Stegostoma tigrinum: one gene and its partners. The protein of the gene in region 1 purifies or fractionates together with the protein of each later gene. This does not show direct contact. Links are inferred from orthologs where the notes say so. Each region holds a gene or a part of one and is shown on either strand. Other genes may lie near its edges.

Region 1 (7,803 bases):
GTATTTTATGTATGCAGTAGTTACCACCTATGGTGAAATAAGTACTCCTACAAACATCCAAATTCCTGCATTGTTTACCTGTTATGTGTCAAGATCTAGATAAGTCTTTCCCAGTGTGACCTTATTTCTACAATTGACCTACCCAAGGCTGTACCAGCATAAACAGTGACTGTTGTTTATGGGTCGTTATTCACAGAACAGTAACTGAATGCAAATTTATGTAACTCCTATTCATAGGGTCACACAAAGAAATACCAGTCTTTCTGCAGTTCCATTCTCACATATTTAAGCAAGGACAGCATCAGAATTGGTGGTGTATTTTAGGCTGTTGTGTACAGATTGCTTGCCAGATCAACAGCACAAAACACAGTGGATCTCTTTGTATAGTCCTCCAACATTTCCTGGTCTGATATATAATGTTATGAAAGATTGTTGATATTTCATTCACAAATAAAACATCCCAATTACAAAATGTTTTCTTGTTCAACCCCACAAATAATCGTAGGAGTGGTAGGGAGATAGTCCATTGTGTACTATGGCGCACAATATTCCCACATCCATTTAGAAAGGTGCCCCCAGGGATCACTACAGACAAAAATCAGAATCATCACTGTGGTAGTCACATGACACCATACTTTTCAGTGTTACATCCTGAGTGTCTTATCAAACAGATATGTGAATCAACACAGACACTCTAAATGATTCCCAAAACTGAAGACCAAGGACAGGTTTGGGTCAGTTCTGGGAGATTTATATTTTTGTACTTCCAGTTCACAAAATAAAAGGTACACTCTTCTCAATCTCAAATGAGTTTCCACTTAATTTTATGTGTGCCTCAATGTTTACTGTGTTACCTTCAATTTTATAGTGTAAATACCAGAAAAATACATTTACCAAATATCAAAATCTCAATTGCAAGCAATGCTACGCAGGAGAAAGTGCTGGTAGCCAATTATCAGCAAACTGCCTGAAACTGGAGGTAATATTTACCTATTTTTAAACATATTAAACTGGATACAACAACAAACAGCAATGTGTTGTTTTATATAAAAATGTGTGAATCGACAGCATGCGAGAGGGATTCTGCATAAGTGGATAGAATAAGTGTAGAATTTACACTGGTGTAATGTTTTGTGGGCCTGCTGACTGAACTGCCTTCAACTTAAAAAAAAAGCTTAGAGCTATTTCGGCAGTTTCAAGGAAGTCTGGCTCCTAGTGATCGAAAGAATGATACCGCACTGCCATTATCATGCTTCGATCTGTTTGATCCAGGTTTACATCCAAAGACTTCAGTTAATGATCGATTAGTACGAAAGGATCTCTACGTCTGGAGTTTATTTCCAGAATGGGTGTTTCCCCCTTTTGGAAGCCTCGCACGACAGAACCACTTGCCTAAGAGTTGGGTGAAAATTCGCAACCCCACCCACCACCAAACCCAGCCCAAACCACGTACAGACAGACACTCACACATACAGTCACAGACCACCACCATCGTGCCTGTGTGTCATTCAGGACACGCGTGAATGCTTTCTGAATCGTACACGTGAGAATTCTCTCCGCTCACTTGAAACAAGTAAACCTTCTCACAGTCACACGGCAGATTAGTTAGCGAGAGTGACAACCCTCTGGAGTGGAGTCACTGGCGAGGTGTTTGGATTTTTCAACCGAATGAAACCCCGGCGTGTGTTGACGGTGTTCTTGCTCGAATAAATATCGTGTGGGCGAACCAGACCATTTTTATTTTCTCTCTCTGTCTCTCTCTGTCTCTGTGCCCCTCGAAATATTCTGAGTTTACTTGGTCCAACCACCACCTCCTACCCCCGCCCCGCCACCGCCACCAGCACTACCTCCTCCGAACTCGGTGGATTTTGAAAAGATGTGAAGCGCACAATAGATCGAGTTAGTGTAACAGAGGCGAAAGCAATCGCGCTGACCCTGGGCACTCAGACAGACTGCACAATGTGTGCACAACTTCTACAATGGTCGCTGCGTGTTACCGCCAAGAGGGAAACGGCCTTACGCCGAGCAGTCTTTTCGGGTCGAGGAAGGTGGGGAAGGAAAACTTAAAAGAAAACAGATATTTTTGGGACCGGCCTACAAGCTCGACGCTTTGGGCCCTCCTGCAAAGAGGGACAGCCACCCGCAGCAACCAACAACAAAATAAAACCAGACAAGAGGGAACAAACGGCGGCTTTAACCCTTTCCCAGTGCACCCAACCGCACTCACACTTTCACCGATCGCTGTCCCTTTAAAGGTCGAGGGAGCCGGGTGAGGACTCGGCGCCGATCCCCGCTGCCGTGTTGGAGATCCGAAGGTTGGCCAACTCTCTCAAGTTGACCTCCGCCATAACTAAGCGAGAAAGTTGTCGCCCGCTGACATCATCATATTCCCCCACTTGCACACTGGTTCCCACACACTCTGGCCAACTGCTGCGATCACAGGCTCCGTTCACATCGCAGCCCTGCGTGCAGGATGCCGGAAGAGCTAGGATATTCGCGATTCCAATGCAGGAGAACGGTCGTCCTCTCAAACCATTTGCGCGAGTCTGCAAACTCGCCTCCCCCACCCCATTGAATGGGAGCTAAATACCTGCTCCGGCACTCACACACGGTCTAAAGAGAAGCAACTATCAGGTCACGGGCACTGGAAAAGATGCATTGCTTTTCGTGAGAGGAGCATAAACACCAAAAAGTTCCTCAGACCCTTGGAGACGGACATAGAACAATAAAAGTCTCCCTCACACCGAAGACAAATGAGTCAGAGAAAGGTGTAGTGTTTGGTAAATTAATTTGCAAAGTACATTAAAGTTTTCTCTCTGCTCTTCCAACGTTAAGAAATGTGAGTTTGGATGACGTCAGACAGTTGAAATAAGATAGTGGATTTACAGCCATCGTCAGCCTGTTGCCAGGCTTTAGGGACACTGCACTGCAAATAGCAAGTGAAATTCCACCGAGGTCATTTGACCACTCCATCCTGTTAGCTTACCTCGGCATGTTTGGAAATGAGAGTGTCTTGTAGCTGTCGGTCGAAACAACCACCCTGACACGCACAAAAAAACAATTATAACATCATTGTGTCCGTCTCTGGCTTGTTCAGAGAGTCCAACTGAGCAGCTGAACACGCTAAAGACCATTTATATATGTTTTTTAAAAAGCATGTGCTGGAAATCTGATCACGAACGGAAAATGCTGAGGACACACTCAGGTCAATCAGTATAGGTGGAGAGGGCAGATACGCCAGCCTTTCAGTTATAATCAGCCCTGAACCGCTGAGTATTGGCACCATTTTCCGCTTTTCAAAGTGAATTTGACGCCTTGCGCTGGGAACCTCGGCGCATCACATTGTCCACTCTGGACTCAGGTGTAGAACTCATACCTGTTGAGTATTACGTGTATTTTCAGTTTCTATTTCAGATTTCCAGCATCTACGGCATTTTGCATTTGTTTGCAGTTGTACTGTTGCTTTTAAACGGTTCCTCATTGAAAAAACAAATCTATTCCAAATAATTTTGCTGCCCCCATCAAACTTTTTGTCTAATACTTTAAATTTCTTATCTAAGTAAACATTTAAAATTCTCAATTGCACAGAACGTTAGTCAATTCCTTGTGGTATGCCAGTAAATCAGTTTAGATCAAGAAGAGAAGATAATTGAACTGGGCCATGTAGATGAAAGATTGGGATCTGATGAATTTAGGCTCAGGCAAAGACCAGGATTTGACCTGGAAGACTTATCACATCCAAGCCCTATTTATGCATACTGTTTATTTTCTGCCAACCAGTCAGTTTTCTATCAATGCATTACACACCATGAGTTTTTATTTTCTGCAAATACCATTTATGTGCCACCTTATCAAATGCCATCTGGAAATCCAAGTCCAGCTCATCTGCAGGTTTACAATTATCCACAGACCATGGAACTCCATCAAAGAACTCCAACAAATTGGCTAAACATGATTTCTCTTTGATGAAATGATGTTGACTCTTGCTGACTACTTCATGTTTTTCTAAGGTATAATCCCTTTCATAATTCCAATGCCTTCCAGATATCAGATGTCACGTTACTTGGTCTACATACAGCCTTTCTCCTTCTTGAATAAAATGATTATATTTGCTACAAAAACAGAAGTTGCTGGAAAACGTCAGCAGGTCTGGCAGCATCTGTGAAGAAAAAAATCAGAGTTAACATTTCGGGTCCAGTGACCCTTCACAGATGCTGCCAGACCTGCTGAGCTTTTCCAGCAACTTCTGTTTTTGTTCCTGATTTACAGCATCCACCATTTTGATTGATTATATTTGCTACTTTCTTGAGATATAATGAAGAAAATAATGTGTTAATGTGACAATTAATAGTGCAACTCCAGTGAGCTACTGTAACTGTCTCGTGGTTTATCAGACTGTTTAGACCCTTATTATCCTATTCATTGCTGGACTGAGCTTTCAACGTATCTTCCTTCTGTCAGAAAGACATCTACTTCCAATTCATTATGTAATCCATTTACACGCTGGTCAAGTCAAAAAGGAAATTTCTGCTGAAACTCTTGTTCACACCACTGTCATCTTCAGATTCAATTACTCCAAAGATTTTCTAGGTCCAATACTGCTTTCATCTCTGCTAAAATAGAGATCAGTATGAATCCAAGCTACTATTATGACGTTGTTGTAAAGAGATGCTGACTTGCACTTTTTAAAATGTCAACTTCCATGCAATAAGTTTGAAATTAAATATGATTGAACACAGAACAGCCTTAAAACAAGTGCATATTATGATATATAACTACATAGTTATTACAATACCTTTAGTGCTGGAAAGTGACGATTTAGTATATCTTTGCCAGTACAGACTTCTTGGGCCACAATTGTCATTTTAAAGAAAGCTACTGAGCCAGTACCTATTGTTGATTATGTTTAAATGTTTAACTGAGGCAATTTTCTAACTACACAACCAATCTTTCAATACGGTTTCGATATGTAATTGATTATACATGAATAAACCTTTAGGGAAGGAATCTTCCATCCTTACCTGGTCTGGCCTACACGTGACTCCAGACCCACAGCAATGTGTTGACTCTTAACTGCCCTCTGGGCAATTAGGGATGGGCAATAAATGCGGCATATCCAGCAACACCCTCATCCTGTGAATGAATAAAAAAAACATGGCAACATTAATTTATTAGTACCTTTACTGCACTAAGTTATCCAACATAATTTTTCTGGTGTATATCAAACAAAATGTAGTAACAAACTACACATAGAAATGTACGAGAGATATTAAGTAGATTTTAAGGATTGTCTTAAAGCAGGAAAGAGGGGAAATATGTGATTTAGGGAGGAAACATAACCATCCTGGAGGTTAACTTTGACCAGAAAGTGAACTCGACTACCCTTATAAATAACAGCAGAAAATGCTGGAGAAAATCACCAGGTTTGGCAGCATCTGTTGAAACAGAGATAGAGTTAATGTTTCAAGTCTAATATTACTCTTCTTCAGAACAGAGGATGGCATGATGGCTCAGTGGTTAGCACTACTGCCTCAGTGTGTTGGACCCAGGTTTGATTCCACCTTCATTTGGCTGTCTGTGTGGAGTTTGCACATTCTCTCTGTGTCTGGCTGGGTTTCCTTCCACAGTCCAAAGATGTGCAAGTTAAGTGGATTGGCCATGCTAAATTGTTCTATAGTGTCCAGGGATGTGCAGGCTAGGTGGGTTAGACATGGGAAAAGCAGAGTTACAGGGATGGGGTAGGTCAGGGTGGGATTGCTGTTTGGGGTGGTGGTGTGGGCTTGATGGGAATGGCCTGCTTTCACACTGTAGGGATTTGATGATGATATTTTATTCGAAACTTTAAATCTGTTGCTCTCCCTCCACAGATGCTGCCAGACCTGCTGAGTTTCTCCAGGATTTTCTGTTTATTTCAAATTTCCAACATTTGAAATATTTTGCTTTTATTTGAGTAGCCACACATATACTGTAGCTCCAAGAATAGGTCAGAGGCTGGCAATCCTGCAGCAACTCATTTCCTGACTCCCTGGAGGGAAGCCTGCCTACCACCTCTAAAGCATAAAACGGGAATGCAATGGATTACTCCTTACTTATCTGGAAAAGTGCAGCTTCAGCAACACTCAATAAGTTTAACACCATCCAGAACAAAGCAGCCTGCTTCAATAGTGCCACATCCACAAATATTCACTTCCTCCATCACCGATGCTCAGTAAGTGTGGTGTGTACCATCAACAAGATGCACTACAGTAGCTCACCAAGGCTCCTTAGATAACATCTTCCAGACTCACAAATGTTACCACCTGGAAGGGCATCAACAGAAGGTACATGAAACACCACCACCTGTAAGTTCCATTCTAAGCCACTCACCATCTTGACTTGGAAATATAATGCCAATTCTTCAATGTCGCTGGGCCAAAATCCTAAAATTGCGCGCATGACAGCATTGTGGGTATAACTAACCAAATGAAATGCAGCAGTTCAAGAAGCCAATTCACCACCACCTTCTCAAAGGCAATTAGGGATGGGCAATAAGTGCTGGCCCAGCCAATGACATGCCCATCCTATGAATGAATGAAAAAAAAGTTTTATGATCTTGGTAATGGATACACAATCATCAGTGATGGAGTGATGAAAATTTTAAGTGCTCAAGAGATAAGAATTGGAGGTTGCGCTCTTTGGAGAATGGGAGGAGATTACAGAGCTAGGGAGCAATGAGATGAAGGAGGGATCTAAAAACAAGGATAAGAATTTAAAAAGCAGAAACCTATGCGGGCTAGCATGCACAAAGGTTACAGTCGAATCAAATTTGGTACACGTTGGGACATGAAAAGTTTTCAAGAAGGAACTAGATACATTCATAGGACTAAAGGGATCAAATAGTATGGGGAGAAAGAGGGAACAGTCTACCGAGTTGGCTGATTGGACATAATTATGTTGAAGCACTGAATGATCTACCCCTGTTCTTATTTTCTATATTTTTGTGAAAGCAGAGTTTCAGATGAATTTAAGTTTTTGGAGGCTATGATGGCTGACAAGGTGTGTGTTGGAATAGTCAAGTAAAACAGTAACAAAGACTGGGGTGGGAATTTATTGGTAGAATGGACACATGAGCCAAATTGTGATACAGAAGTGAAAATGGGCAGTCTTCATGACATTACCTGTATATGATCAACTCAGAATCAAATAGGAAGAGTGTGTGGAGTTGGTGGATAGGGAGTAGAGAATAATGTCCCCCCCAGCAAGATGATGCTGGAGTGATACTGAAGAGGATAGTGTGGTCAATGTGTCAAAGGCTGCAAACAGATAGGGAAGTGTAATGAGGGACTGTTTACCATTGCCATAGTCATACAGAACGCCATTTCTAATTTTGTTATGAAGTATTTGAGTGCAATAGTAGGGCAAAAGCTATTTGGAGGGGTTCAAACATGGATTCAAACAAGATGCTTTAATAGGAATTTCAGGATTACAAAGTTAATAGAAGGAAACTGAAAGTTAAATATAGCTTGAGCTTCCTCAAACTGATCAATGTTAGTGGAAGGCAGAGATTAAACTGGACTGCACTGCCATCTAGTGCAACAAATATAACATGGCTGAAGTGATCAAATTACAAATGGCGACGATTCCCGATTTCACAGGAAAGAGTAATACTGGTGTTGTTAAAATTAAGTGGGAAATCGGAATTGTGATTTAACTCTTTACCATAGACTTAATTATTTGGTTTTATGAGCTTTTCGGGTTTTTCATGTCATAATAGTATAATTTGAATGGCAATGGATTTATTCTGAGTGAATGAACTACGATTGG
Region 2 (7,631 bases), on another chromosome or scaffold:
TACCACTGGTGGAAACAAAATATCTATTTTTTTACTAAGTTAGTACAGGTAAGAAAGGAAGGATAAAGAATTGTACCCCTAGTCACTGATTGGTCAGAGCTAGTCTACAAATTACAAGACTTGCTGAATTCAATTTAAATTTACTATATTGGCATTTGAACTCACGACCTCCAAGCTGCAAGCTCTGTACCACAACTGTATTGATACCACAAGATAATGGCAATTGTCAGAGACTGCACCTTGTACTTTAGTCATTTGGGAGAACTAAAGTTGAAATGGTACCAATGTTTCAAGACAAGGATACTTTGTTCTGATTTTACAAGCTGAAAAACAGGAAATGCGAAGGAACTGTATTCTTCAATTTGATAGCAAATATGGAAAAAGCAACAGTGTGTTTCAGCCTGAGCACTTCCTTTGCCCAAAACAGCTATGCTCCTCGCTGTTGGCAGAATGAGTTATTTCTTCACATCAAATGATTAAGCTAAGCAGCAGCAAGAAATCGGGGAGGCAATGGCCTGGTGGTATTATCACTGGGCTATTAACCTAGAGACCCAGGTGATGTTCTGGGGACCTGGGTTAAAATCTGGCTATGGTAGATGGTGGAATGTGAATTCAATTTTTAAAATATCTGGAATTAAGAGTCTACTGATGACTGTGAATTCATTGCCGATTATCGAGAAAACCCACCTGGATTCACTAATGCCCTTTAGGGAAGGGAACTGCCATCCTTACCTGGACTGGCCTACCTATGACTCCAGACTGAAAGCAACATGGTTGCTTTTGTATGCCCCCTGGGCAATAAATGCTGGCCGACCCAGCGACTCCCCACATCCTATGAATGAATAATGAAACATATGTGGCTATCAAAGACAGAAAAAGTTACCTCGGAGCTGGAGAAGAATCTCTGGTCAAGATAGAAGAGAATTGCAGGAAGTAAAATGACTTTAGATTAGCCTAGATTCCCTACAGTGTGGAAACAGGCCCTTCGGCCCAACAAGTCCGCATCGCCCGTTGGCGCATCCCACCCAGACCCATAACCCACACACCCCTGAACACTATGGGCAATTTGGCATGGCCGATCCACCTAGCCTGCACATCTTAGAACTGTGGGAGGAAACGCACGCAGGCATGGGGAGAATTTACAAACTCCACACAGACAGTTGCCCGAGGCTGGAATTGAACCCGGGTCCCTGGCACTGTGAGGCTGTAGTGCTAACCACTGAGCCACTGTGCTGGCCAGTTGAGATAGTTTTTAGCCAGTTCATTGCATTTATTCAACTTATTTTTTGTTTCAACATTTATGAACTGAAGTAATAAAATGGTTTCACCATTTTTAAAGCTAATCTCTCAATGCATACTAAAATGAGAAACAGTACTAGTGAAAAAGGTCCCAAGTTCCTTTGAGATCTGGGTGAAGAATTCTAGGTTCTTGGGTAATTCTTAAAAAGGTGCAAGGCCTGAACATGTTTATTTTGTTTATAGACATTATTTTGACTGTCACATTTAGCAAAATAGGTGAGCCACATTACCCATGTGTTTGATTGCCTTACATTGGCTGTTAGTGTCCCTACTGACATATCCAGAATCACATCTAATGGATAAGTGCTGTGTTTTAGTTTTCACAAGCATGGCCTCATGGCTTTTCTGAATTATTCAGGAACTTGGAGAATCAAAAGGTTTCCCATTGCTTTGGTGACTCAGCTAATCAGAACCAACTTGTCAACTGATCAGCATTTTTGTTCCTCCTGTAGTGTAAACTGTTCTGTTAATTTTGAAATCTGACATTCTTGCATTTTCCCTGATGATAGCAAGGCAAAGAGCTAAAACAACAGGTCTTGATCTTTAGGTAACATTCAAATAACTAACAGATGTACAATTCAGCCAGCACTATAGTCACATCTAGCTAACCACCCAAGCTGGTAATTATTAAAATTACACTAGGAGTCTAAAGGCATAGTATATAGCATCCTTACTACTTCTGACCAGAAATTCGAGGTCAAGGCCTACCTTAGGATATAATGGCCACAGAACCGGTATCATAAAGCAGCCACACAGGTTGATCAGCTATTTGAAAATCTTTGTAACACAAGGCGTAAGGGAAGAATTGTTCCTGTATCAGCTACAAGTGAGAGATAGATGTGGTACAACACCCTCCCTAAGTTAAGAAGAGATTCAACAGGCATTAGCTTATGCTCATTTGGACAACTGGTACAGACAGCATCCATGGAAAGAAAGCAAGTTGGCATTTTGAATCCATATGGCCCTTCATCAGACTCGGTTAAACGGCCAGCTTCTATACTGAGACAATCCTGTAATTCTATAAGCTAGTGTATCCACACTCCTAAAGACGCGTTACACTGTTAATGACAAGATCACTTAAGTATTCAGATAGACCCTAAGCTAAACCGTTTCACTGTGCCACCCCATGGCTATAGTCTGCAACTGCAGCATGACAGGTGACATAGTAAATGGGAGATAACAATGCAGCAACATGAAGTTTCAGCTGGAGATTTTTCAGATGTGGACACTAAACTACTGCCACTCACCGAAGACGTAGACCACCGCGAAGGCGCTGCCGGCCCCCAGCAGTCCCGCCAGTCTCAGCACCATTTTCTTGGCATAGGCTGCATTTTGCTTCTGTTTCTGCTCCTGGTCGGCGCCGGAATCGCTGCTGCCAGCCCCTGGCTCCCCGCTGCCGGCCTCTTCTTTGGCCCGTTCCTGCTGCTGCAGCTTCTCCTGCAGGATCGCATGAGCCAGGCCTCCCGCCCCGGCGCCGCTCGGCCCGCGGCCTCTTTCCGTCGACAGGGTCCGACACGCCGGCGAAGAGCCGAGTTTTACCTCACAACTTTTCAAAGCGGACCTTTTGCGACTGGTCGCAGGCCGGCAGCGTAAGATTTTCCTGCAGAGGTCCAGCGTTGAGCGGCGACACATGCAACTGAGCGACGCCGCCATCTTGAGCCGACCTCCCACCCCTTTCACACACTCCCTCTCAACCGAATACACATTTTGTCTGATTGACGTGGGGCAGGACCAAACGGAAAAGGAGGCGCTTACGCGCGGCGACGTCACTTAGCCAATCAAAGCCACGATAGAGAGGACCTGACAGTCAGCAAGCCCGGTTGGTTTTCGTGTTTTCCTCCCCCACCCCGAAACATGCCAAAGGTCATCACAGTGGGCGAAGGAGGACAAATGAATCCTGAAGGAAATCTAAAACCCGATTCAAAATACCTGCGAAATCATGGAGAAATGTAGGAAAATAACTCTGACAGAGACTTATTTCTTTAACAAAAAAAGGAACAAAACATAAACACCAGAGCTTTCACATGGATGACAAATGCAGAGAATTTTTAACTGAAGAACATCAATTCAAGGTCATCTTCAACTGAGCAAATGAGAGCTTATTATGCAGAGGTTGGAGAAGCAGAATACATTACAGTTTTGGAGGGGATTGGGGTAAATATTTGATAAAGAAACATGTAAAAGAATATAGCAAAAGGACTGAATTTTTAAAATATATTCATCAACCAGATATTTCCCATCCCTAGCTAGCCTTGAGCTGCCCTCTTGAATCACTGCAGTCCAGTGCTAGAAACATACAAACTTTTTTGAACCTTGGATTCAAAATGATCATGAACGATCCTCAACCTCAATGTCATAGCCTTACTTTCTGCCCCTACCCCTCAATGCCTTTGAATGTATCTATAAAATAAAAATGTATCTATATTTTCTCTGATAACAAAGTGTGGAGCTGCAAGAACACAGCAGGCCAAGCAGCGTCTTAGGAGCACAAAAGATGACGTTTCCCCAAACGTCAGCTTTTGTGCTCCTAAGATGCTGCTTGGCCTGCTGTGTTCATCCAGCTCCACACTTTATTATCGCAGATTCTCCAGCATCTGCAGTTCCCATTATCTCTATATTTCCTCTGTCTGGTCTGCTGTGTTCCTCCAGGTCTACATGGTATCATCTCTGATTCCAGCATCTGCAGTTCTTACTATCTCTATCTTTCTTGGAGGTATTCAGTGACTTGGCCTCCACAGCCTTCAGTGACAGTGAATTCCACAAATTCAATGAAGAAATTGTTCCTCATCTCTGACCTAAATAGTCAACTCTCGTAGTCTGATGCTGTGATTTCTGGTTCGAGATTTCCCAGACAGGGAAAACATCCTCTCTGCATCAAATAAGTCTAGTCCTGTTGGAACTTTACATGATTCAATCAGATCCCCTCTCATCTTTCTAAACTCTACCAGGTCCAGTTGAACCAATTTTTCCTTATTGAGAGTTTTGTCATAACCAGTAGCAGCCTAGTGAATCTCCACTGCACTCCTTCCATGGGAATATATCCATTTTTAGGCAAGGAGACCAAAACTACATGCCATACTCCTGCTGTAGTTACACCAAGACCCTGTATGGCTACATTAAGACACCCCTGCTTCTGAACTCAAATTCTCTTGCAATGAAAGACAATGTACCATTTGTTTTCCAAATTACCTGTTGCACCTATCTACATTTATTGGCTCAAAAACAGAAATTGCTAAAGAAACTGAGCAGGTCTAGCAGCATCCGTGCAGAGAAAGAGAATTAATGTTGAGTCCAGTTCTTCAGAACTCCCATTTATTGACTGATGTACACAGATACCCAAATCCCTTTGTACATCCATACTTCCCAAAAGATGATCATTTAAATAATATTCTTGCTTTCTGTTTTTCACACTGAAGTGCAAAACTTTGTATTTAGTCATGTTGTATAGAATTTGCTTAGATGTGGTCATGTCTTAAAAGTCAGACTAGGCTTGACATCAAATGACAATGCAGTGGTTGAGTTTGCTGAGTGCTTGCTTCAGTCAGAAGGACATTGAGTTAATTCCCAAACAGGGGACTTGGACACAAAATCCTGGATGACACTCCAAGTGTCACAAAAGCAGAAAATGTTAGGCAAATTCAATAGGCTCAGCAATATCTCTGGAGAGAGAAACAGATACAATCTTTCAATCCAGTGTCACTTTTTTCAGAACTTCACTCTTCCTCTAATTTTAAGGACTTGAAACATTAACTGTTTCATTCTCTACAGATACTACCAGATCTGCTGAGCTTCTCCAACACACATTTTATTTCATATCTCCTGTATCAGCAGTATTGCAAGTGTAATACTGAGTGAATACTGTTGGAGGTACATCTTCTTTCTGTGAAGGCAAGCCAAGCACAATATAGTCATCTATTGCAAGAGAAACGGAAAACTGAAGTGGAAATGTTTTGCTATGGTTGTATAGAATATTATTGGGGCTATACTTACGTTATGTCGAGTTTTGATCTCATTTAAGAAAGGATGTACATATGTTGGATGCAATTCAGAAAAGGTCCACTCAATTGACACCTAGGATGAAGGTGTTTTTTTGAGAGGAAAGATTGGACAGACTGTGCCTATCTCCACTGGAGTTCTGAAAATAAGACGATCTTATTGAAACATATATGATATGAGAAGTCTTCATAAGCGATATGTTAAAAGGATGGTAACCCTTGTGGGAGACACTAGAAATAGGTTTTCCAGTTCAAAAATAAGGGGTTTATTTTTCAAAAACAAAAACTAGGCTGAATCTTTGGAATTCTCTTCTCCAGGCCACAGGGGAAGAGTAGTCATTGAATACTTTTAAGGTAGCGTCGGTTCTTGACCAACAAGGGAGTCAAAAGGTTAGGGTGGAGACACAGCAATGTGAAGTAATCAAATCAGCCAAGATGTTATCAAGAGAGATAACAGTGAAGGGCTGAGAAGCCTATCCCTGTTCCATTATGTGTCAAATGAAGCATTAAACAGAGGTCTTGTTTACTGTCTCAGATGGTGATAATAGGTTCAATGGCATTATTTTGAAGAATCCTGGCATTATCCCCAATGTCGTGGCTGATATCTATCCCTCAACAACATACATTACTCTGGAGGTCATATCTGACTCAAAACCTTAACTTTCTGTCTCTACAGATGCTGTCAGATCTGTTGAGTACTTCAACAGTTGATTTTTTTTCATTACAATTTAACAGTAAGTTAGTGGGATTTTGTTGCATCCAAATTAATATCTGTACTATTATAGCCAAATTAGCAATAAGGAAATTAATTGAGATGTACTGAAGTTGTGAAAGGCACTATATAAATGCAATGAGGTCATAGGGTCAATTTTTAAAAAAATCTAGTTTCTTTCTGTTTTGCCATTCCCAGCCACTATCCCCATTTAAGATCTGGCTCCAATGCTCTGTGCATCATCAGTTAACACTAACATAGCCTACTGCCCAGGCTGTGGAATTCCCTTAATAAATTTCTCATCTTCCACTGAGCCCACACCCAAACGTCAGGAAGCGAAGACTGCCAGACTTGATTCTGATGCCATTCATCAATTGAGTATCCATCCAGCACAAATTGTTTAGGATCACATGAAGGATGTGAACGTGACAAATTTCAGATCAGCCATGATCCTACTGAATAGCCACGCAGGCTCAGGGGGCCAAACTGCCTACTCTCATTCCTATTTATTAAGGTCTTAATTCAGTCTTAAACTTGTTCATATCCCGACATGGTCTCACCTCTCTCTATATGTCAAAATTGATAATCCATTAAGAACTGTGTTCCTCTAAATTTGACCTTAATTGCATTCCCAACATTCTCCAATCCAAAATCCAGTTCCTCTGCTAACTAAATTGCAATGTACCTGGGCCTTATGCTCTGGAATTTAAATATTTATTTCTCTTTCCCCTTCTTTAAGAATCAGTGTAAAACCTCAAACTAATGCTTTGGCCCATTGTCTGTCACTTTCATATCTTTTGGCATGCCACAGAAAAGAAAGGTGGTGCCAGCACCAGTAAAACTGTTCCCCAAATGAACAGCCAAAACCACAACCCTTTTGGTTTTACATCTTGTCTGGTCTCCCAGATCACAAAGCACCTGGAATCAAGAAGGTACACATGCCTGGTTCCTCTTAGCACCTCCTCACAAAATAGAATGCAGTGGAATTGGGAAGCAATTCTGTACCCACAGCACAGTATCTTGCCATGTTTCTGCACCATGACCCGACATCACTCATTCCAAGACGGCTCTTAAGTAGATTATTCTAACTCTACCTAAAGGTTTTGCAGGCTTTTAGAGGGCTTGGCATGACCCATAATTCACTTTTTCTTTGGAAAATCAGTAATAAGAAAGTAATCTGAAAGTCAATCTTGTTAACCAGGTGGGACACAAATCTGGTGTGCACATCCGGACTGTGTTGTGATTCTTCCACTAGCCTCCCAAAGGAATAATTGGATAAAGGCATCACTTATTCACCAAAATTTAGAGCCACAAACCAGCTAGGTCCAAATTTAATTCCCAGTGGGTGTGGAATTGATTTCAACTGTAATTTCATCAACATTCAATGGCCAAAGAAGGTGGTAGATCTTGGATTTTGGGTTTCTGATTACTTTTCATTGACTCCCTCCTGGAAACCACATCTACATTAACATCAGTCAGTGATGTAGTACCAGTCTTAGGATAAAGGTGTCAGTCATTTCAGTCTGGGATGAGAAGCTTACTAGACATTTGTGAACCTAGGAAAGCCTCAAGCCTTCCTCAGTGAGAGCTCAGTATTAGAATAAAAACATGGCTAACATTGAGAT
Region 3 (7,530 bases), on another chromosome or scaffold:
TAACCTCAAACTAACGCCTTCCTCTACACTGCCAAAAAAACCCAGCTAGTCTTGTCATCCACAATCTTATTTATCATCATTGATAAATATCACAAACAATCAAGAACTCAGTACCGATCCCTGTGGTACACCACTGCACACTGGGCTCCAGTCTCACAAACAACCATCTATCACCACCCTCTGTCTCCTGGAACGAAGCCAATTTTGGATCCAACTTGCCAAGTTACTTTGGATCCCATGAGCTTTTACCTTTTTTATCAGTTTTTGATTTGCAACTTTGTCAAAGGCCTGACTGAAATCCATATAAACTGCGTCAAACTACCCTACCCTGATTCAAACTCATGGTTAACTCCTCGAAAATTTCCACCAGATTTGCTGGCATGACTTCCCTCTGATAAATCCCTGCTGACTATCCGCGTCAAACCTTGTTTTGCTAAATGGAGATTAATTTTCTCATTCACTACTTTCTCCGATAATTTCCCTACTACTGATGTTAGTTTGAGTAGTCAATAGTTCCCTGGCCTATTTCTACCACCATTATTGTAAAATGGAACCACATTAGCTGTCCTCCAGTCCTCTAGCACATCCTCTGTAGCCAGAGAAGACTTAAAAATTTGGGTCAGAGCCCCTGTAATTTCCTCCCACGTCTCCCATAGCAGCTTGGGATACAACTCATCTAGAACTGGGATTTGTCCCCACTTTTAAATCCACCAAAATCTCCAATACCTCATCACTTCTTATATTTACAGTACAATATTTATTAGCAAAACAGATCAGAGAAAATGCTGCCTAGAAAGCAACTTTTTTAAGGGAATTTGTTAGTAATTTTTGAGGATGCAGTATAAGACGGTGTCAGATGTTTCTGTAGATTTAGCCATTCGCTCATTTTCATATTTGCTGAGAACAATTTAAACTACAAAAGCTAAAAAAAGTTTTAGTTTGAATATCTGTTAAAATTATATTGATTAACCATTTAAATGTTATTAGTTTAAGACAGGTAATTTTTAAACAATATTTACATCCCTAACTTACATAGCAATCAAGCCACAAGGCACGATCAACCTGAAGTTTCTGGCCCAGAGATAGTGATGCTAGCCGCCGGGTCACAGGCCTGTTTTGAAACTGCTATTTTCTTCCTCAATGTTTTCTTCAACAACATGCTGAAATGTTATAACACACCTCGCAGGCAGGTGGGTCTTCAACCTAGACGCCCTGGTCCAGGGATAGGGACATGACAACTGTGCAATTAAAATTCTTAAAAGCCTACTGCACGTTTATTTCCCAGGCTGTCTTCCATTCCAAGTACTGGTCAGGCCTGAATTGCTTAGCTTCTAAAATCAGACAAGATCAGTCATTTTCAGACTGGTATCGTTTTAGTCACTATTGTATTGACATGTAATTCTCAACTGCAGGAATAATTCAGAGTATTCATTGTGAATAAACGGGAATCGGGCACACAGCATATTAGTGTAAGTTTACCAAACCTTAAAAACAAAATGGGTTTTCAAGTTTTAGCAGTTGAGGCCACTGCAGTTCAAATGCAGTATCAATGCTGCTGCAAAACCTTTTGTTTAATCAATAATCATAAACCTGTGTCCTTTGATCAGGAGCCCCGCTTCCCGTCGGCTTTCCCCTGTGAAAACTCCCCAAGATTTTGAACAGCCCCATATTAGTGCTGTCTCCGGTCTTCCCGGCTGAAGGCCGAAAGAACTCTGTGCCTGTGATCCGATATTTTAAAAAATCAGAGCTGTACACACCGTTTACTGCTGACTGAAAGCTACAGTTGTATGCACCGAATATCACTAAGAGGCCAACTGCTGGGTAAGACGGGACGCGGCATGATTACGATTTGACAGAGCCTCAACGACCAGGCGAGAGGCACAGAGAGAGAGAGAGAGAGAGAGACAGCTAGAGAGGGGGCGGCGACAGGAAGTCTTCACTAAAAATAAAATCAGAAGTCTCTTTCCGATTCGGTAAGGCCATCCTGACCTCAAGGATTTTTTTTCTGTTTAGGATCCCAAAGAACAATTCCAGAAAATAACAATTACATTTTTCACCTTTTTAAAAAAAATTATAACAAATACGAGGATTACACTCGTTTCTCAACCTGTGTGTTATTTTTGTTTCTGTATGAACCGCTTTAAAGGACGGGACTGGTGTCCTCTCCTACCTCAGCTCTAAGTTGTCCAGTGTCTCCAGGAGCCGCCCCGATCGATCTGCCATGGACATAGAGCGGAAGAACTTGTTTTCTACATCGTTCCCCTTTACCTGATTGATCTTAGACTGGGCCATGATGCTGACAAGTTTCAGGGCTGTCAACTGGCCTTTCTCTCTCTCTCTCCCGTTCCTCCGGGAATCTTGGTTCCTCTTGTGGGATCTGCTCGTCTTCCTGTGGGAGATGAAGATTTCCAAATAGGGTGAGGACTCCCCCACTGTCCAAGGAGGGAGGGGTGGGGGGTAGGGTGGATAAACCTCTACTCACAGGAAAGAAGGATGCAGAACAGAGGCAACAGAAATCTCTCAGTCCCTGGCTCAGATTTATTCCTGGCCAGTGGGTTTTCTAGAAAAAAAAACTCAGCAGGCGCCAAGCAATATATTTAGCAAGGCGCATTTTTTCAATCTTTCCAGTCAACTGTTGATGGAGATTGTGAACATGTCAAAATCTTTTTTTAAAAAGTCTTTTATCCTCGTGTTTATTCTTTGTGAAACACTAATGTAAGCTGGAATTTCTTTTTCTGGACGTGATTCGTTCCATTTCCCACTCCGTCACCACCAAGTTCCCCTCTGAGCCCATATCTTGCTCTTCCTTCAATATCTCCAAAGACTGCAATGATTCAAGACTACAACTCACCACCAATAAATTAAAAAAATCGTTTTTTTTCAACCCTATTTTGAGATGAATGGGCTCATTTAAAAATGCTATGAGACGTACCAGTCTACCAAGATCGGGAATATATTGTTCTTTGATTATTCTGAAGTTGGATCTAGTCTTGGAGATCCGTGTGACAGTGAGTTGCACATATTCACCTCCGAGTCCGTTAGTTGCGCACGCTTTTAAGACCCCTGGTGATATGTGCATCCAGTCTAGGCTGACACTACTGCCCAGTATCGAGGATGTCCTTCACTAATGAAGGTGTTGTCTTTGAGATGATATGAAATAGATTGTCTTTCAGTGGCGCAAAAAATGTCGGTAGTTTTTTTAAAAAAAAAGAGTCCTAGCTAATAGTTCTCCCTTAATAAACATCACTTAAAATCTACTTGATCATTGTCAAGTGCAATGTAAAATGTTACAGTACTTCAGCGGCTGCAAAACACTTTGGAGTATCTGAAACCAATAAAAAAATACTAAATAGACATTTCAGGGATAGTAGGAACCTGCAGATACTGGAGAATATGAGATAACAAGGTATAGAGCTGGATGAACACAGCAGGCCAAGCAGCATCAGAGGAGCAGGAAGGGTGAGGTTTCAGGTCTAAACCCTTCTTCAGAAATGGGGGATGGAAAGGCGGTTCTGAAATAAATAGGGACAGAGGGAGAGGTGGAAAGAAGATGGATAGAGGAGAAGATAGGTGGAGGAGACAGACAAGTCAAAGAGGTGGGGATGGAGATAGTAAAGGTGAGTGTAGGTGTGGAGTTAGGGGGGGGGGGGAATAGGTCAGTCCAGGGAGGGCACACAGGTCAAGGCTGGTAGGTAGGTGATGGGGGTGGGGCTTGAGGTAGGAGGAAGGGATAGGTGGGAGGAAGGGCAAGTTAGGGACGCAGGGACAAGTTGGGCTGGTTTTGAGATGTGGTTTGGGGAAGGGAGATTTTTGGAACCTGTGTGAAGTCCACATTGATACCATTAGGCTGCAGGGTTCCCAAGCAAAATATGAGCTGCTGTTCCTGCAAACTTTGGGTGGCATTGTCGTGGCACTGCAGGAGGCCCAGAATGGACATGTTGTTGAAGGAGTGGGGGGGGGGGGGGGGGGGAGAGTTGAAATGGCTCGTAACTGGGAGGTGCAGTTATTTGTTGTGAATCAAGCGTAGGTGTTCTGCAAAGCGGTCCCCAAGCCTCCACTTGGTTTTCCCCGATGTCGAAGAGGCCACATCCGGAACAGAGAAACAGTATACCACATTAGCAGATGTGTTTTGATGTGGAAAGTCTTCTTGGGGCCTGCGATGGGGGTGAGGGGGGAGGTGTAGCACTTCCTGCGGTTGCAGCAAAAAAAATGCCCTGGGTGGTGGGGCTGGTGGGGAGTGTGGAGTGGACAAGGGAGTTACAGAGAGCGCAGTCCCTCTGGAAAGCAGATAAGGGTGAGGAGAGAAAAATGTCTTTGGTAGTGCGGTCAGATTGCAGACGGCGGAAGTGCTGGAGGATGATGCGTTGGATTCAGAGGTTGGTGAGGTGGTATGTGAGGATGAAGGGATCCTGTTTTGGTTGTGACTGCAGGGAGAGGGTGTGAGGGATGATTCACAAACTTGTCAATCTCCCCATCCCGATCACATCGCAAAACCAGCCAGGCTCGTACCCACCTCCCTAACTTGTCCTTCCTCCCACCTCAAGCCCCACTCCCATCTCCTACCTACCAGCCTCATCTGCCCCCTTGACTTGTCTCCCTGGACTGACCTATCCCCTCCCTACCTCCCCACCAAGACTCACTTTTACTGGCTCCATCCCCACCTCTCTGACCTGTCTGTCTCCTCTCCACCTATCTTCTCCTTTATTCATCTTCTATCCACCTCCCCCTCTCTCCCTATTTATTTCAGAATCCCCTTCTTCTCCCCCATTTCTGAAGAGGAGTCTGGACCCGAAATGTCAGCTTACCTGCTCCTCGGCCTATGTTCATCCAGCTCTACACCTTGTTATCCCACTAAATAGAAGGTCTTCCTTTAACCTTCATGTGGCCATCCATGTGCACAAAAAGTGTACCAGGCTTCAATCATATGCAAACGGTTGAAATAAAAAGCAGGAACTTACTTGGAAAGTTTGGATGGAAGGAGATTCACAACATTTCTTTCTTTGGTCATTTATTCTCTGTATAGTTCATTGGATGTTACTGACATGTTGGTTGCATTACTTGAAGATGTTTAAATAAAGAATCACTAATGATGCAGTACCCATCAGATCATGTCTCCATCAAGTCAAATAGACAGCCAGACAAGCTGGTTATGTTGTTCTGTTTGATTGATCTTCCAGCACATCATCTTCCACTAAGCGTTTCTCACCTGTTTTGATATCCTCTTTGGCCCCCTCACCTGTTGTCTGCTAATACGATTGTAAGGCTACAATTGTGTTTGCTACATTAACTGTGCAATATAAACGGCAAGCTTTTGGAGGTAGAGAGAAGAATTAAATAGCCAAGTCACTGAAAGAACTCTGTTCTTCACCTATATTTGAGCTGCTTGCCATTTCCGAAACACATCACTTCTGACAGTGCTGCAATGAAATATCAGGTCAAGTTATATAATGAAGTTCAGGTTGATCTCAAAACACTGAGGTGATAATGTCACAAAGTTTGTCACAATGAGTTTGAGCTGATGTTTTTGTTGATAAGGCTCTACGCAAATATAATTATGTCTCTCTCTCAAAATATCTCAGAAAATCTCATGACGATGGGTGAAGAAAAAATATTTGATTTACGCAGCATCTATCATAATCTCCAGATATCCCAAATTCCTTCATAGCAAATGAAGCACTTTTGGAAGCTTCTTCATTATTGTAAGGAACGCAATAACCATTTTGTACAAAACAAAACTGTACTATCAGAAAAAGCTAAGTGGAGGGGAAGGGAAATCAATGTGAAATATACATTCCAGGGAAGTACATGTAAAAGATCTCCTATCTTGGTTGCAGTTTATAGTGTTGCTTTAATACGAACAATAATGAATTTCAGCATTGTACATACCTTCTTCAAATTAGTCCGCATTAGTCATACCAATTGAGTCATGTGCTTATGGGGATTTACCCAATGTTTATCGAGATATAGTGAATCTGAACAATTAACATATGTACCCCTTGTATTTCAACTTCACCGAAAGTGAGAAGAGTGGATATTAAATGAGTGTCTTGGCTCAAATTGGTATTCTGATCTATCAGTGTACTGTACACAAAACAAGATTTCAATCAGTTTCACTTAGTTTAACAGATTCGACTCATCTCTGCCCAAAGACAAGTGGTAATCAGAGATCTTGCACCTTTTTGTTTTTGAGTGTTGGACATTCTGGAAAATTATTAACTGAATTTCCTTGCATCTTTGAACAACAGGATTTCCAATATAAAAAGATAGTTCTAAGGTGGACGTTAACTAACAGCAATGTTTAACAATGAGTAATTAAGGTGTAATTTTTGTGGCAAGGACAATAAACATTGGTAGAGCTATCCATTGACCATACATAATGATTAATAAAATCTCTTCTTCAAAGTCTTTAAAAAGAGAGGTAGTCCTATTCAAGGAAAGTAGCTTTTGTAACATACAAGCACTTTACAGCAATATTACTTCAAAGGATTTGGGAAGAGATGTCCTGAGGTCTTATCTATGAAATGCACCTTTGATGTAGGTAAGATATGGTGCATGACAAAGCATGGTTTGCAACATGATTCTTCAAAGAGTACTGAAGATAAAAACTGAAGCTGAAAAGTCATGAACTCATGTTGAGCTTTGAACCTCTCTGATGTTTGGCATCATGACTTTGTTTAGCATGCTACATTTCAATATCTCATACTTTTGGGGGTGGGGAATGAACAATCCATAAAACCTTGTAATATGCTGTGGTCAGAGGTTCAAAGCCTAGCAAGGCAGCTGGAGGAATTTAAATGCCATCAATAAATCTAGAATTAAAAGTCTGCCTCAGTAATTTTCTTCTGAAGGTTTCGACAGCCTCTGTATCCATTACACTCTCAGGTGGTGCATTCCAGATCATCAAAACTGTCCACTGAGTTATACTGCATTATCTTCTTCCTGCATGTATTGTTACAACCCTATCCATTCTTTATAACTTTTCCTTCTCTACCCAACTGCTAACCTTAATTTTTAAAAAAATTTTATCAGAAAAGACTGGGATTCCGTATAAAGTTCACGATTCAGTCAGCACCCTCCCCTCCGCTGGGGAATTGACTTTGGGAACAGCAGGAATCATTACGGATCTGATTGTCCATTAGTTGGTCACCACACAGAAACACACAAAGCAGAAACATAACCAAAGCTAAGAGGGAGTTAAACCCTATGACCTCTTAATAGATGGAAAATCAGCTTGTTAAAACAATTACAAATCTGGAGGAAAAAATTATGGGGTGGGGGTGGTGGAGGAATAAAGTTGTAAAGCCAAACCCTGCAGAGTTGTGTGGAGTGGAGAATCAACAACTAGAGCTTTGGCAGTGAAGTCCATGAAAGGACTGCTCCCAGAGAGGAGACAGACCGCATGCTCGGTTGGTAGGGAACCACGGGGGAGACTGGTTGAAACAAAGAACAGACAAGTGCGACTGGAGCAATAAAGGTTGAACTGGAAGACCGTTTTTGGAAAGGGGCTGTATTGAGTGTCCCCGCCTGATA
Region 4 (7,212 bases), on another chromosome or scaffold:
CATAGATGCGACCAAACATAAAAATTTAATAAAATAAGACACAGGAGCAGAAATTAGGTTATTCAGTCCACTGAGTCTGCTCTGCCAATCAATCATGGCTCTTAGTTTCTCAACCCCATTCTCTCGCTTTCTCCCCATAACCTTTGATCACCGTGGCAATGAACTCCACAGATTATCTATCTCTGGCTGAAGATGTTTCTCCTTGTCTCCGATCTAAAAGATCTTCCCTTTACTCTAAGGCTGTGCTCTCAGGTCCTGTCTCTCCTACCAACAGGACCCGAGAGGACCCCCAGAGGCTTCTTCCCAATATCCACTCCGTCCAGGCCATTCATCATTCTGTAAGTTTCAATTCCCTCACTCTTCTAAACTCCATCACGTATAGATCCAGCGTCCTCAAATGTTCCTCATATCAGGGCTTTCATTGCTGGAATCATTCTCCTGAACTTCTTCTGAACCTGCTCCAGGGCCAGCGCATCCTTCTTGAGATATGGGGCCCAAAACTCCACACAATACTCGAAAAGCAGCCTGACCAGAGCCTCAGGTGTACAACCTTGCTTTTATACTCGAGTCTCCTCAAAATAAACGCAGAAGTCGCATTTGCTTTCCTAACTACTGACTCAACCTTTAAGTTTAAGGTGAGAGAATCCTGGACTACAACTCCCAAGCCTCTTCGCACTTCAGACTTCTGAATTTTCTCCCCATTTAGAAAATAGTCCATGCTTCTGTTCTTCTTACCAAAGTGCATCATCTCTCACTTTCCCACGTTGTATTCCTGGGGACCTGGGTTCAAATCCCGCTATGGCAGACGGTGGAATTAGTATTTGATAAATATCTGGAATTAGGGGTCTAACAATGACCATGAATCCATTGTCAATTATTGGGAAAAACCCATCTGGTTCACAACTGTCCTCTAGGGAATGAAACTGCCATCCTTGTCTGGTCTGTCCGACATGTGACTCCAGGCCCACAGCAATGTGGTTGACTCTTAACTGCCCTCTGGGCAATTAATGCTGCCTAGCCAGCAATGCCCTCATCCCGTTAATGAATTAAAAAAAGACAACTTAATTTTTACTAACAGCTCTACTTGGCATCAACATGTGGACATCAGATGAGGTGAGGCTAGTTCGACTTAAACCTACGTATAGAAGATTTGACCACAGCCAAAAATGTAATGGGGAATTTTCTGAACTTTCGCATACTACTGATTTCCTTTGCCCAACCATGGTTAGCCATCTATACCTACGACTGTCTAATTCCTGAAAGCTAAATTTCTATGTCCTAGAATAAACACCTTAAAATCTACTTATTTGAATGAATTTTTAGTCATCTGTTCTAATACATTCCATGATTCTGCTCAACTTCCTTTAACATAATTTTTTAAATAAAGAAAGCTCTTTAGGATGTTTAAATATAAGGTGTTATATAAATGCAAGCTGTTTTTGCTCAGAAGAAACTAACAATGTTAACCAATAAGTCAAACCCTCAAAGGCTGTTAAACTGGACAAAAATCAATGAAACTAGGGCATAACATGAGTACCAGTGCACAGTAGGCAAAAAAAATGGATGTGAACTAAGAAAACCCCCAGCAGGTGAAAGGTATTAAAGATAAAGGCTGGAAGAACACAACAAGTCAGGCAGCATTTGGAGGAAAGGAGCAGTTAACTTTCAGCTAGAATACTCGAAATGATGACTGCTCTTTTCCTGCAGATGCTGCCTGGCTTCCGGCGTTCTTCCAACCTCCTGCTTGACTACTTTAGATTCCAGCATCTGCACTTTTTTTTGGTCTCTAACCAAAGATATTAAAGATCTGGTTGAGAAGAACCAGGAGGTGCAAAGCAGACTGGTTTCCTGGGAGCGTTTCTATTGCCTCTAACTCCGAGACAGCAGCGGCTGCCCCGTTCCCCGTTCTCCTCCGCCGACAACGGATAGAGCCAGCGGGATCACAAGTCCTTTAACACGGCCTCCAATAATGAGCACTAAGACACGATCCCCAAGAATTGCGGCACCCCCTGGGTTGGGGTTGCGGGGGGAGAAACTGATGTGTCTATGTAGAGGCAACACCTACCAATCGCAATTAGACCCGAGAGGCTGGGAAAAGAAGCCCGAACAGTAGGCCTCGCACCTTAGCCACCTACTCCCACTCCGAGGCTAAGCGGCCCAGACCTTTAATATCCAAATCACCGTCCCGTTCCCCCCACCCCCACCGTGTCTCTCTCATTTTTTTTAAAAGGGGGGACGGTGGGAGGATGCGAACAATAAAATCTGTTGGGCCTCTGATCGCTAAGGTCGCATCCATGGGTCGGGTAAAGATCCCCGGCTTGGGTGGCAGTGGGCCGGGTTAAGAGTTATTTAAGAAAAAAAAAGTACATTTTTAAAAATCCAACTCTTTACCACCGTTGGTACAAAAGAAATAAAAATTCAAACAGGAGGTGAGAGACGGCGTCCGTTAACGGCCACAGCGCGCGTGAGAAGCTGGCGGAACGTTCTAGTAAAGGGAGTCCGTTGGCGGCGCTCGCGCAGCCACGCGGCCGGAGGAGGAGAAGGAGGAGGGAGGCAGAGCCGTACGACGGATTAGCAAGTACCAGTTATTTACACTGATTAGATATTTATGCACGCATTTTTAAAAGTATAAATATATACATAATATGTATACACACACACACGTAAGCGTGAAGTGAAGCTTACCCCCGGCTGTAACGATGCATTGAGTGTGTTTGTTGTTGAGGGGAGGGAGAGGTTAGGAGGTAGAGTTCGGGAGGATGGCGACGGTTTTCAGTTCCCCTCCCCCTCCCCTGCTGTCGCTGCTACTTGCCCGGTTTCTGGCCGGCACCCCGCCTTTTCTCCCTTCAGGTAACTTGCTTTCTTATTTAATTCCTCCCTCCCTTCCCATTTCACAGCCTTTTCTTGTTCGATACACCACCCCCGGCCTCTTTATAAATGGTTTTTTTTTAAATGTGTTTTTCCTTCCACGCCTTCGCCTCTCCACCTGGATGGGCCGCAGGCTGCGCGCGCATTCGCCTCCCTTTTTTCCCTCGCACCCCCACCCACTTCTTTCGGCCCACCCTGATGCACCAAGAATTCCGATTGGTCTGCGGGAACCGGGCGAAGTTGACATCCAATCGGGTTGCTGGTTATGGTCGGGTAGGCCGGAAATCGCTGCGGCTGGCGGTGTCAACAAACTGCTTGCGGACAGATAGACCGTATTCACAAGCTGTCATCTTGGATGTCGCCTCCCTACCATTCCTGTTTGCAGCAGCAGCAGCAGCAACAACAAACAAACAATCCCCGTGACACCCAGCTTTGTGTCAGCCGTGCCCCGGTGGAATGTTAAAAAGCAAAATACCGCGGACGCTGGAAATCCGAAACAAACACAGGATATGAGATAATGGGAACTGCAGATGCTGGAGAATCCAAGATAACAAAGTGTAGAGCTGGATGAACACAGCAGGCCAAGCAGCATCTCAGGAGCACAAAATGGGTCTAGGCCCGAAACGTCAGCTTTTGTGCTCCTGAGATGCTGCTTGGCCTGCTGTGTTCAACCAGCTTCACACTTTGTTAACAAGCACCGGATATGCTGGAGAAACTCAGCAGAGTTGGCACCAAATGTGGAGCGAGAAACAGTTAAAGTTTCCAGCCACCCGGTTATGCCTATTTTTCAGACCTCCTGAGTTTCTCCGACATTGCCCCTGTGTGTTTCAGGTTTGTAGCATCGTAGTTTTTCGCTTTTAGATGATGTTTTGAGTTGACGTTTCTTACTCAAAGTACCGGTCTCGAAACGTTAGATGTGTTTCCGCCTCCACAGATGTTGCCAGACCTGCTGCGTTTCTCTAGCATTCTCCGTGTTTGTGTTTGGAAACTGTCCAGCCTGCCTCGCCTCCAGTCCCAGAACCAACACAGCCCCGACCTCAATCACTCAGCGGCGGCAGGCAGTCGACACTTGAGACTGTGCGCGCGACAGGCGACAAGCTGCGAAATATCGTCAATAGCCTTTATCTAACCATCTGGAATAGAAAGCTCTCTACTAACCTGCCCCTGGCGCGCAACACTGTCAAGATGCCCAGCGAGCTAACAGGAGAACGTTGATCAATACTTGTATCTTTGAAGCTTCCACTCTATTATTTTTATATAGAGTCATACAGCACGGAAACAGACCCTTCGGCCCAACTCGCCTATGCCGACCAGGTTTCCTAAACTGAACGTTTGCCATAATTTGGCCCATATCCCTCTAAGCCTTTCCTATCCGCCAAATATCTTTTTAATGTTGTAATTATATTTACCTCTACCACTTCCTCTGGCAGCTTGTTCCATGTATATACCACACTCTACCTGTAAAAGTTGCACCTCATGATTCTTTTAAATCTTTCCCCTCTCACATTAAACCTATGCACCTTAGTTCTCAACTCCCCTATCCTGGGGAAAAGAACTTGGCAATTCAACTCATCTACGACCCTCGTGATTTTATAAATCTCTGTAAGGTCACCGCTCAGCTTCCTATGCTTAAGTAAAAGTCCCAGCCTCTACTTATAACTCAAACCTTCCAATGTTAGGAATATCCTTCTAAATCTTTCTTTGTATCCTTCCTATAGTAGGGTTACCAAAATTATACACAGTACTCCAAATGGGGCCTTACTAATGTTGTATACAGCTGGAACATGACATCTCAACTCCTGTACTCAAAGCTCTGACCAATGAAGGCAACTGTCCCAAATGCTTTCTTTGCCACCCTGACTACCTGTGACACCACTTTCAAGGAACTACGTACCTGCACCCCTATGTTTCTCCACTTGGCAGTGCCCTCCAGGGCCCTAACATTAACAGTGTAAGTCCTGACCTGGTTTGTCTTTCCAAAATGCAATACCTTGAATTTGCTTGCTTTCAACTCCATCTACTATTCCTTGGCCCACTGGATCAAAATCCCATCATACTCTTCGATAATCACCTTTACTGTTCACTAAACCACCAATTTTGGTGTCATCCACAAACTTATAAACCATGCCTCTTATATTCTCATCCAAATCATTTGATAGCAATGACGAACAGCAATGGACTCAGCGCTAATCATTGCCGTACACTATTGGTCTTCTATCTGAACAAGCCCTACCACCACTCTGTCTTCTACCATCAAGCTATTTTTGTATCCAATTGGCTAGGTGTCTCTGGAATCCCATGTGAATTCACCTCACTCACCAGTCTATCTCGCAGAACCTCGTAGAAGGTCTTGCTAAAATCCATGCAGACAACATCTACTGCGCTGTTTTCATCTATCTTCTTGGTCACCTCTTCAAAAAAATCTCAGTCAAGCAGGGCTGAACTTTGAATAAGGAAATTTGAAGGAAATCTGTTTCACCATTCTGGAGCACTGTGCTAAATTAGAATACATAGTACAGTACCACTGTATCTGTTAGGAATCTTAGACATTAGTTTAATTTTGTAATATGATTTGTCTTTTCATTTCGCTTTCATCTGTAAAAGTTGTGATGGCTCTGCATACAAACATGTAATTGTGTACTATATCACTGTTTGCATATAAAAATAGATTGGGCATACTTATATATTTGTACAGTTTATTTGAGAGTTTGGACTTTAACCAGCTGCATATGGATTGTTCACCTCTGTGATAAATGGGGTAATTAACTAGTGGATGATTCTGGAGTGATGATTTAAAACCGGTATGTGCCAGAGCAGATGTGAAACATTCTCTTAGAGCAATAACATGGACTTATTTGTATTTTGACAGCAAGACAATTAAAGAGCAAATATTAAAAGATATTCCCTTGTTTTTGATTTTGAAGATTCGATAGTTTTTCTCTTAGGAAATACCGACAGATTGGAAAGCCTTTGATTTCCATTCAAATGTGACCTTGCTGGGTTTAGATGTAACAATTTCTCCTGGAACAAGGAGTTAGTCCAGAACAGTTAGGAAATAGCTTACATCAATGTAAGAATTCCAGAACAGAAATATTTTGGTAATAAACCTGAAGGCCTTGGTCAAAGCTAAGAAAATTTAAGCACAGTTGTGTGAATAATCAAGGGAGAGGCTATCAAGCTCTCAAGATCAGTAATTGAAAGAAACAGTTAATTCAAAACTATAGAAAAAAATAAATGATCTGTCTCTGGCAGATGGATCAAATATCAGTGGGGGGGGAAACAGTTAGTAGACAGTGTCTTTTGTACCATACAGTTGAAAGATAGTGTTGGAGAATGGCATGCAACAATTCAGAGTAAGAAAAATCAATTGACAGTGAGCTGATTTCAAATGGGGCAAGAGTTGAACTGTGTGTGGAGCTGGATGAACACAGCAGGCCAAGCATCATCTCAGGAGCACAAAAGCTAATGTTTCGGGCCTAGACCGTTCTTCAGAGAGGGGGATGGGGAGAGAGGGGGAGGTGGACCGAAGATGGAGAGAAAAGAAGACAGGTAGATAGGAGAGTATAGGTGAGGAGGTAGGGAGGGGATAGGTCAGTCCAGGGAAGATGGACAGGTCGAGGAGGCGGGATGAGGTGGTAGGTAGGAAATGGAAGTGCGGCTTGAGGTGGGAGGAAGGGATGGGTGAGAGGAAGAACAGGTTAGGGAAGTGGAGACAGGCTGGGCTGGTTTTGGGATGCAGTGGGGGGCGGGGGGAGGGGACGAGCTGGGCTGGCTTTGTGATGCAGTGGGGGGAGTTCTTCCCATTCCCCACTGCATCCCAAAACCAGCCCAGCCTGTCTCCGCTTCACTAACCTGTTCTTCCTCTCACCCATCCCTTCCTCCCACCTCAAGCCGCACCTCCATTTCCTACCTACCACCTCATCCCGCCTCTTCGACCTGTCCGTCTTCCCTGGACTGACCTATCCCCTCCCTACCTCCTCACCTACACTCTCCTCTCTACCTATCTTCTTTTCTCTCCATCTTTGATCCGCCTCCCCCTCTCTCCCTATTTATTCTAGTTCACTCTTACCATCCCCCTCTCTGAAGAAGGGTCTAGGCCCAAAACGTCAGCTTTTGTGCTCCCATTCTTTTTGAATACGCTGTATAGGTGATTTTCTTCTGCTCTTCGTAGTTCCTCTGTGCTGCAGTGTGTGGTGGCTCGTTGGAATAATGTTCTAATGCAGCTTCGTTTGTGGGTGTTGGGATGGTTGCTCCTGTAGTTCAGTATTTGGTCCGTATGTGTTATTTTCCCGTAGACGCTGGTTTGAAGTTCCCCATTGGCTGTTCGCTCTACTGTGACATCTA

Evidence for each region.
Region 2: the proteins of raf1b (region 1) and timm50 purify together in Homo sapiens (affinity purification with mass spectrometry; 4 studies listed by BioGRID and IntAct, with this or other methods). This does not show direct contact. The link is inferred for Stegostoma tigrinum from reciprocal best matches to the Homo sapiens genes RAF1 and TIMM50.
Region 3: the proteins of raf1b (region 1) and bag2 purify together in Homo sapiens (co-immunoprecipitation; 3 studies listed by BioGRID and IntAct, with this or other methods). This does not show direct contact. The link is inferred for Stegostoma tigrinum from reciprocal best matches to the Homo sapiens genes RAF1 and BAG2.
Region 4: the proteins of raf1b (region 1) and dicer1 purify together in Homo sapiens (affinity purification with mass spectrometry; 3 studies listed by BioGRID and IntAct, with this or other methods). This does not show direct contact. The link is inferred for Stegostoma tigrinum from reciprocal best matches to the Homo sapiens genes RAF1 and DICER1.

What each region holds. Positions count from the first base shown.
Region 1 is NC_081364.1:25,156,118-25,163,920, forward strand, and holds the start of raf1b (RAF proto-oncogene serine/threonine-protein kinase), read right to left. Parts: upstream 3,010-7,803; 5' UTR 2,995-3,009; coding exon 2,987-2,994; intron 2,841-2,986; exon of another isoform or gene 2,228-2,840; intron 1-2,227. UniProt on the Homo sapiens protein: Serine/threonine-protein kinase that acts as a regulatory link between the membrane-associated Ras GTPases and the MAPK/ERK cascade, and this critical regulatory link functions as a switch determining cell fate decisions including proliferation, differentiation, apoptosis, survival and oncogenic transformation.
Region 2 is NC_081392.1:2,961,850-2,969,480, forward strand, and holds the start of timm50 (mitochondrial import inner membrane translocase subunit TIM50), read right to left. Parts: upstream 3,015-7,631; 5' UTR 2,953-3,014; coding exon 2,547-2,952; intron 1-2,546. UniProt on the Homo sapiens protein: Essential component of the TIM23 complex, a complex that mediates the translocation of transit peptide-containing proteins across the mitochondrial inner membrane. Has some phosphatase activity in vitro; however such activity may not be relevant in vivo.
Region 3 is NC_081357.1:92,219,332-92,226,861, forward strand, and holds the start of bag2 (BAG family molecular chaperone regulator 2), read right to left. Parts: upstream 3,015-7,530; 5' UTR 2,293-3,014; coding exon 2,171-2,292; intron 2,118-2,170; exon of another isoform or gene 1,758-2,117; intron 1-1,757. UniProt on the Homo sapiens protein: Co-chaperone for HSP70 and HSC70 chaperone proteins. Acts as a nucleotide-exchange factor (NEF) promoting the release of ADP from the HSP70 and HSC70 proteins thereby triggering client/substrate protein release.
Region 4 is NC_081363.1:6,496,689-6,503,900, reverse strand, and holds the start of dicer1 (endoribonuclease Dicer), read right to left. Parts: upstream 3,015-7,212; 5' UTR 2,686-3,014; intron 1-2,685. UniProt on the Homo sapiens protein: Double-stranded RNA (dsRNA) endoribonuclease playing a central role in short dsRNA-mediated post-transcriptional gene silencing.